2 linked regions of the Oryzias latipes genome follow. The protein of the gene in region 1 purifies or fractionates together with the protein of each later gene. This does not show direct contact. Links are inferred from orthologs where the notes say so. Each region holds a gene or a part of one and is shown on either strand. Other genes may lie near its edges. The genes, in order: kpna3 and kif22.

Region 1 (4,563 bases):
GGTCCCACCTTCCTTGTAAAATGTGTGTGCGTGTATGGGTGTTTGAGAGGGTGTTTGTGTGCATGTGTGTGTGTTTATGTTTGAATGTATATATTGAAGGGGGAGGGGTGTGTGTACTAAGGGGGGTGCAGTTAAAATTGGCGAGTAGGGCACTAAGGGGACATCTCCTGATTACTCACAGTGATGTCCCCTCACCCTCCACACCAAGGGGCCCTAAATGTCTAAGGTGCGGTTAAAATTGGCGGGTAGGGTGCCAGGAGGACATCTGCTGCTTGCTTGCAGTGATGTCCAAGCACCCCCCCTACCAAGGACCCTACATGTCTAAGGTGCAAATAAAACCGAAAGAGGGGGGGCCCACTCCATACGGCAACCATAGGAGGGGGGCCACTCCCAAGTAGCCCCCCCCCAAGGCGCATCGCAGGCTAGACCCCCCACCCCCTCACCCTAATATGAGGTTATATAAGGAAGGGGGTAAGTTGGGGACAGCTGGTAGACTGTCCCCCGGTGGTCAAACAGCCGTCCCCCAGCCCACCCCCAGCAAAGGGGCCAGGGCCACCCAGCCCAGGGGCCCACCCCCGGAGGCGCCGACACCCCAGGCCCGGCACCACCCACCCCACACAGAGAGAGAGGAGCCAGAAAGCGTCGCCCCCCCCCGGAGCAAGCCCAGGCCCCCACCCCCAGACGCCGGCCCTAGAAGAGCTCTGGTCAGGCCTCGACGGGACCGAGGAGGCCAACCGGCCGAGGCAACCACTGATTGCCTCAGCGGAGACCCCGACCCGCTAGCCCCCCCGACCCGTACTAATAATGGGCCCCCCCTCCCCCCAGAACGCCCCCCCACAGGACAGGGCCGACAAGCCCCCCACCCCACCCCACCCCAGACCCCGCAGCCGAAGCGGGTGACACCCAGAGCGACCGGGGGCCCCGAGAGGGTTTCAAGCCAGAATCTGGCTTGAAACTGTACGGCTGGATAAAAACGGCATAATCAATATAAAAAGATCACTCTGAACGTTTTGCAAATAGCTTAAAAGATGATCGTACTGGGTCTTGTGCGGCTGCAGTTACGGTTTTGTTTTTATTCCCATTATACATCTGTCAACATCCTCTCCCACTAGCTTACAGTCCCTTAGATGCCCCACCTTACATTACCGGTGCAACAAAAATAGTGAGCAATACTGGAGCTATCCAGGTGTACAGTTTTGATCAAGATGTCAGCTCAGACGAGGAAAACAAAGACGTATATTGATCTATCTGTCTCAAGCTCAATTTTCTGTCCACCATCATCAGAAAAATGCTACAAGAACATGTTAGTCCAAAAGCAGGTTTTTATTCCAACTGTGCTGCATCCTGGGAGCCTTGGATACCAGGGACAGCCCATCGGGATGGGAGGGGTAAGTGGTGGGCGGTATGCTCTGACTCCTCCCACCCCTCCGCGATCTGCTACGATCACTCCTCCCCCTCCTCCTCTGTGGGGCCAACGGCAACAGCAGCAGCACAAGAAGAGCCGTGCCTAGTCTTTGACGGAGGAGATCCACTAAAACGGGAGTATATTAGCTAAAGCCCGCACAGCCATGGCAGAGAACGCCGGCTTGGAAAACCACCGCATCAAGAGCTTCAAAAATAAAGGGCGTGATGTCGAGGTGAGCTTAGACAAACCCGTGGTTTTTAAACACCACGAACGGAACCATTTTCAGGTATTAAAAGGGCCTCGTTTGCCCTGGCCCCTACTGAAACAGTTTGCTTACAAGTCAGCTAGCAAGCCATCAGGAAGAATTCGCTATGAAATCTGTCAATCTGTTCGATTGTGTGTAATAATATTTTGTATTCAAAGTGTTGTGATTGGGTATTGGTTAACACAATGTGTGTTACTTTAGTCCATGAGTAGCTGTGAACAGCAATCTCTCACAGAGTCAGTCTGATTAACGGTAGGCGACGAAGCTGTCACTACCGGCTAACTAGCTAGCTAGCTAGCTGGTTGGATGGATACCGGTCGCAGGCGGGGCTGGGCCTGGCCGGCTTCATCAGCGTTATATATACCGTATATTAGTGAACCACCAGTAGTCTGCGTCACTGTTACCTGCGGCACACACGGTCACCATACCTTGTGTAACAGTTGTAAATGTTGTAATCAATTTCCGGTCTAGGTCACATTTTTACCTCCTCCTGTCCTGGCTGATCGTTAGCTTGCTAACCTCATCAAGCTTGCATTAATTTCCAGGTGGTTCAGGTAAACCAGGCTACAAGGAAATAAACCCAGATCAACAATTACAATCCGTTTACTGTTTTCGTGTTATCTTTTAGTTTCAAATTGTACAAACAAATAAATTCTAAACGTAATAACTCTTCAATTATTAGTTTTTTTAATCTACCTAACAGTTTGGTTAACATAGTATTGACTGTTTGGAATTCCAGATTTCAGAATTGTACTTTCACACAAGTGTTTGATTCTGTCGGGTTTAGTGGTAGACAGTCTGTTGTTTTTGGGCCTCACAGGCTACTGTACCATCTAATCAAGTTTGTTGCTGCATCATTCTCATAACAAGTGAAATTAGGAGGACAAATCCTTCTGAATTCTTGTTTGCATTAGGCCTGCATGATGAGGCAACAGTCTGGATTAATTGATGTTAGGTTAGGTAAGAAAACAAAAGATTATTTCATTAAACGCATATTTTTGAAACTTTTTTTTCCACAAGATGTTTATCAAAGCGCTCTAGGCCAAAGGTTTTAATAACAATGACACACTTGTGCCTGGGTTATTGTGATCTATGTCTAATCCTGAGATAATCCCTAAACAAAAGTGTGTCTGAAAAATCCACCTCAGTGTTTGGAGTACCCCAACTGAACACACCAACACAGGTTGTTGTTTTGAAAGTTGGGTCAGGCTGACAAGCACATGGCTACCATGACACACAGACGGTGCCTGCTGCATTCCTGATGCTATTTCAGGAATCTCGGATGTCTGACCCTGGGCCTCTTAAAGCCCCAGCATGAACTGGACTTTTCAGTGGGTGACCCATACTGCATCAGGGAGAGACATGTCCATTTGAGCTTGTTTGCTTTTAAGTCAGCCATCCTGGATGTATTCTTTGTTCTTGTCACTAATACAGGAGAAGTAGAGAAAAGCTAAGAAGTATTGTATTTTATTGTATGTTTGCAGTGATTGGGAGGCTCCTCTCTTCTCCACTGCCCTCTTATTTATAACAGTTCCTGATTACGTGAGTGGCTATTTAAGAAGGAAACATGAACCTGTTTTTTAAGCATCACAAGATCTTAGGACATCTCCGTGTTTTGGATAAACAACAGGAAACCTGTTAATAGATCCGTGTGGTTCCCTGTTAGGTGCTTTCTGTGGGAATATGCGGCATCACTTTGGTATAACTGAAAATATGACCTTCAGGCTCCTGTCTGTATCCTAACAGACTAAACTGCAGGAGTGAATGTAAGTAAGATTCTGTTTTAAGTGAATACCATGGGATTTTTGTACGATGAGCGAAATTTAGGAAATGAGACAAAAAAGAAACAAAATTATGCAGAAAAGTGAGACCAACAGTGTCTGACGAACGGAAACATTGTGTAGGAAAAAAGGTGATGAGTGAATGAAGCCTCATGAAGCCTTACAGCACTCCAAACTTCAAGGCCTTGGTATGGAAAACTGTATGGAGTCACACACCAACCTTCCATAAAAAATTTACATGAAACAAGTTAAACAAACCGCATAGTGGTGTGTTTGTTGTGTATGAGAAATGTCTTATTTCTTTGTAGATTTATTTGTTAATTAATTGTACCGGCTCCATTTGTAGTCCTTCATGTGACTCCTAAATCATGTTCTGTCATGTTTGCTGTAAAGTCCTTCACTCCAGACATTATGCTTCCTATAAGAATATGATTTAAACATTTGCTTTATTTGATGCTGACCTCCCTGATTCTTTAAAAACACTGCTGCAGAGTACAGTCATGTCACATTTGCTTGTAGTACGACTCTAATTCACCCTGGTGATAATGATTTTGAAAAAGGAATGCATTGCTTTTTTAAATTGCAGTTTATGCTTGGCTAGTTTCCAGTATTTGCATAGCAGAGCACATAATCTAAGTGTTCGTGGTCAAAGGCAAAGACTGCAAAAAATACAAATTAATAAAATGCAGGCAGCTGCAGGTCAGCCATATGAATGTACACGTGTTGCTGATAGGAATTCGTTTAGCTGTAAACATCCATGCAAACATGGGGGTGGCAAATTTAATCAAGAAGACTGGCAATCGTTTGATTTATTAATATTACAGCTTTTTAAAAAAAAAAAAGTCTTGGTATTCTGCCAAACAGGTTTTTGGGTAACTTTTCATTTTTGTTAGAATTTTTAAGACAGTGCTCTGAACCTTCTTTCTTTTAATGATATGTGATCTTTACTGGTGTCCATGGATTACATGAAATCCTCTTCACCTTTTTCCACCTTTGTCAGAGTAGGAATAACAGGTCAATGTCAGGGTGGGGTCATTTTGACCCCACAAGATACCACAAGGTCTACAGCTTCGCGGGCCACCTGCAGGTATGCCCATTTTTCAGCCAGTATA
Region 2 (3,025 bases), on another chromosome or scaffold:
ACCGCCTAACAAAAGGCAGAGGACAAAAGGGATGTGTGGGGGGGGCAGTCGGACAAATGAGGCTGATGATTTATATCTCCCACCAGCATAAAGGAAGGACAGGAGAAAAACGTGCAGGTTGGTGAGGAAACACGGAGAATAAATGAAACTGACCTCTTATTGCGTTTGGATCGCTCCTCTTCTGAGCATCGTGGGTTCAGGCGCAGAAGTGTCCTTCACAGCCCGCGGAGTCTCCAGATGCTGTAGGGGAGTCGTTGCTGGGGGGCTACGCGCACAATGCAGGACTGCTGGTGTATCCTCGCTCCGGCATAGAGGGCTGGGATGGATGGGTAGCCTCCAGGGTGGATCCGGGAGGGGGAGGAGGGGGTGTGAAAAGTGAAATCCAGACTACGTGCGAAACGGGGAGGAGAGGAGGGCTCTCCACCATCCTTCACACAACCCTCAACGAAAGGCGCCGATTTGCCCCAAATATTTTCTTTGAATCCTATTTGGGGGGTGAATGGTGTGGGGAGGCTTCAGAGGACTAATGCTCCTTCCCCTCTGATGGGGACTAGATGAAGGTGTGAAATAAACAAGCAAACACTTCATTCACGTGAGGTTTATTAAAACGCACGAGTGTGCCACCCACAGGAAAAAGCTGGCATTACAAAAACATTAAAAGCTTTGAAAAAGAAAAAAAACTTAAATTACAAAAACAAAAGCTTTGGAAATAAAAACTATGTCCAACTGATGTAAAGAAAAAAATATATATATATACATGTACACATTATAAAAACAGATCATTTCCCCATGGCACTCAGGATGTTCGCCTGCAAAAGAGAACAAGGATAAATAATTCACAGGACTTTAAAAAGAATCATGCTGACAGTCAGAAATATTAGAATCAAAACCTGATGATACAGGTTTTTCCACTCAACTTCCCATTATTTAAACAAGCAGTTTAGTCCTTAAAGTCCCACTTCATCTATATTTATATTGCAAAAAAGTTCCCAGGGGTCTTAATTTTGATTAATCAGTAAAGCCTGTGTTGTTTTTTCTGCAGCAGGAACTCATTAGAAATTCACCTCTGGGTTGTGGGCCGGACTCTGTCAATTTCCCCATCAACCCTTTGTTTCCACCATCTCCCACTAGTTTATAGCATATTATAGGCCAAAAACAACAATAGTGTAGCAAAAATAAATAAATAAAAATAAAGGGGAAGCAATATCAGAGCTAACCAGAATCCAGCTCAGACGAGGAAAATGAAGATGTAGACTCTGCAATTTGTCTGCAGGTGGATGCTTCAGAGTTGCAGAAGTGCAGGTAGACTTCGGCCCATCCATGGCATCACAAACTGCGGGTTTTCATCTGCTCATGATCCAAGACCATTTAAATAAAATCTCAGAAATGCAGTTTTCTTTTACGCATGTCCACCATGATGACAAAAATGTTACAAGAACATGTCAAAAACATGTTCACAGATGCATATTAGCCAAAATGTAGTTGAAAAGGGAAAAAAGAAAAGAAAAGGTCATTTTTGCGCCAGGTCCTCAGGTCTGAGCTGGAATCTGTGCTGCTGGACAGCTCCAACCCTGCTTTCCGTTTTTGTTGCACTGCTAACGTTAAGTTTAGTGTGTGAGGTACAGGCTCGTACATGTAACCATAGCACTAACAGCAATGGGGAAGGGAAAGGGGTGCGGGGTTGCTTCACCTTCAAACCGTATAGGCAAATTTCTAATGAACCCCTGCTGCTCTGCAGACACTAAGTCCTTGAAAAGTAGCTATTTTTTATTATTATCTTTGGCTAAAAACAGGATAATAATGAAAAGACGACTGGGAATCCTAAAATAGATCAAAAGATGATCGGAGCACAAATGACCAGGACAAAATGTTTTTGGTCTCTCACCTTTAAAAAAGAGGCAAATCTCTTTTCTGTCATGCCTTCTACTTTTTCCAGATCTTCCAACTACAAAATAAAAACAAAAGTGAAAACAAATTGAAGCAGGAAGTTCTTTTTGTTTCTTAAATGACAGGGATTCTTTTAACAAACCTTTGTGAATTGGCCGTTAAGCTCTCTCCAGCCCAGAAGCAGCTTTGCCTTCTTGTCCCCAATCTGCTGCAGACTTTTGAGCTCTTTAACACCGCCGCTGTTCAAGATGTGCAGGATTTTCTGTTTTGACTGTTCCAGCATTTGCGTGTCTAGTTGGGACTCCCAGGAATTCTCCTTCATGTTCTCCTTACCGTCTGGGAGCTGAAAGAACAAAAACATAAAATAAAATAAATCTAACTCAACAGAATACACCTTCTACGTGATGATCCTGTTCCTACAACCGGTTTTTAAACCAACAACTCTTTCCCCTTACGTGTTCTGCAATGCGGTTAACACAAATGTGACATTTTGCAGCATTTGCTGCGTCAAAAACAAAATGAAAAACAAACACCACAAGTGAAACTAATGCTCTGTGTCAGCCTGTATCTGATGCTTGCAACTCTGCAGATGTGTCAAGCCACAAACTGCGCAGTCAAAGCTGACCTCAATCCTGCTGGAAAGCTCCCTCTTCTTGACACAGACGGACTGTTTCTTGAAGACAGCAAGGTGGACAGGAGGCTGCAGCTGAGACACTGAAGAGGAGGAGGAGGAGACATGCAAAATCTTTAATGTCACAAAAAGATGAAACCTTTTCACCTTTTTTTTTTAACAGCTGATTCTCTCTGGGCAAAAAGTTTGCATGTTAAATGTTGTAGTGGAGAACTGAAAGTGTGTTTTCATGAGTAAGAAAGTTATCCGAGTGGCTCTCAGTGATGCTGAGGGGTGTAAAAAGAATCCCTCCTCGTCGCCATTTGATCTCGCACTGCAGATCAATAAAACTGAGAATCGATGTGACAGAAGCAACTCATTAAGGAAGAACACGTCACATGTTTTGAAAAACTTGTTTAGTAATTTCCTCTATAAAAAAATAAAAAAAATCTATTTGCTTTAGGAAATAAGGTTTTTGATTTTTTTGTTCCATTTGATGGGAAATGTAGAAACGACTGAGTCAAAGTG

Evidence for each region.
Region 2: the proteins of kpna3 (region 1) and kif22 purify together in Homo sapiens (affinity purification with mass spectrometry; 3 studies listed by BioGRID and IntAct, counting the BioPlex papers as one, with this or other methods). This does not show direct contact. The link is inferred for Oryzias latipes from reciprocal best matches to the Homo sapiens genes KPNA3 and KIF22.

The regions. Positions count from the first base shown.
Region 1 is NC_019879.2:9,658,855-9,663,417, forward strand, and holds the start of kpna3 (importin subunit alpha-4), read left to right. Parts: upstream 1-1,448; 5' UTR 1,449-1,568; coding exon 1,569-1,637; intron 1,638-4,563. UniProt on the Homo sapiens protein: Functions in nuclear protein import as an adapter protein for nuclear receptor KPNB1. Binds specifically and directly to substrates containing either a simple or bipartite NLS motif.
Region 2 is NC_019877.2:7,647,112-7,650,136, forward strand, and holds the end of kif22 (kinesin-like protein KIF22), read right to left. Parts: intron 2,602-3,025; coding exon 2,513-2,601; intron 2,231-2,512; coding exon 2,030-2,230; intron 1,946-2,029; coding exon 1,886-1,945; intron 810-1,885; coding exon 780-809; 3' UTR 584-779; downstream 1-583. UniProt on the Homo sapiens protein: Kinesin family member that is involved in spindle formation and the movements of chromosomes during mitosis and meiosis. Binds to microtubules and to DNA. Plays a role in congression of laterally attached chromosomes in NDC80-depleted cells.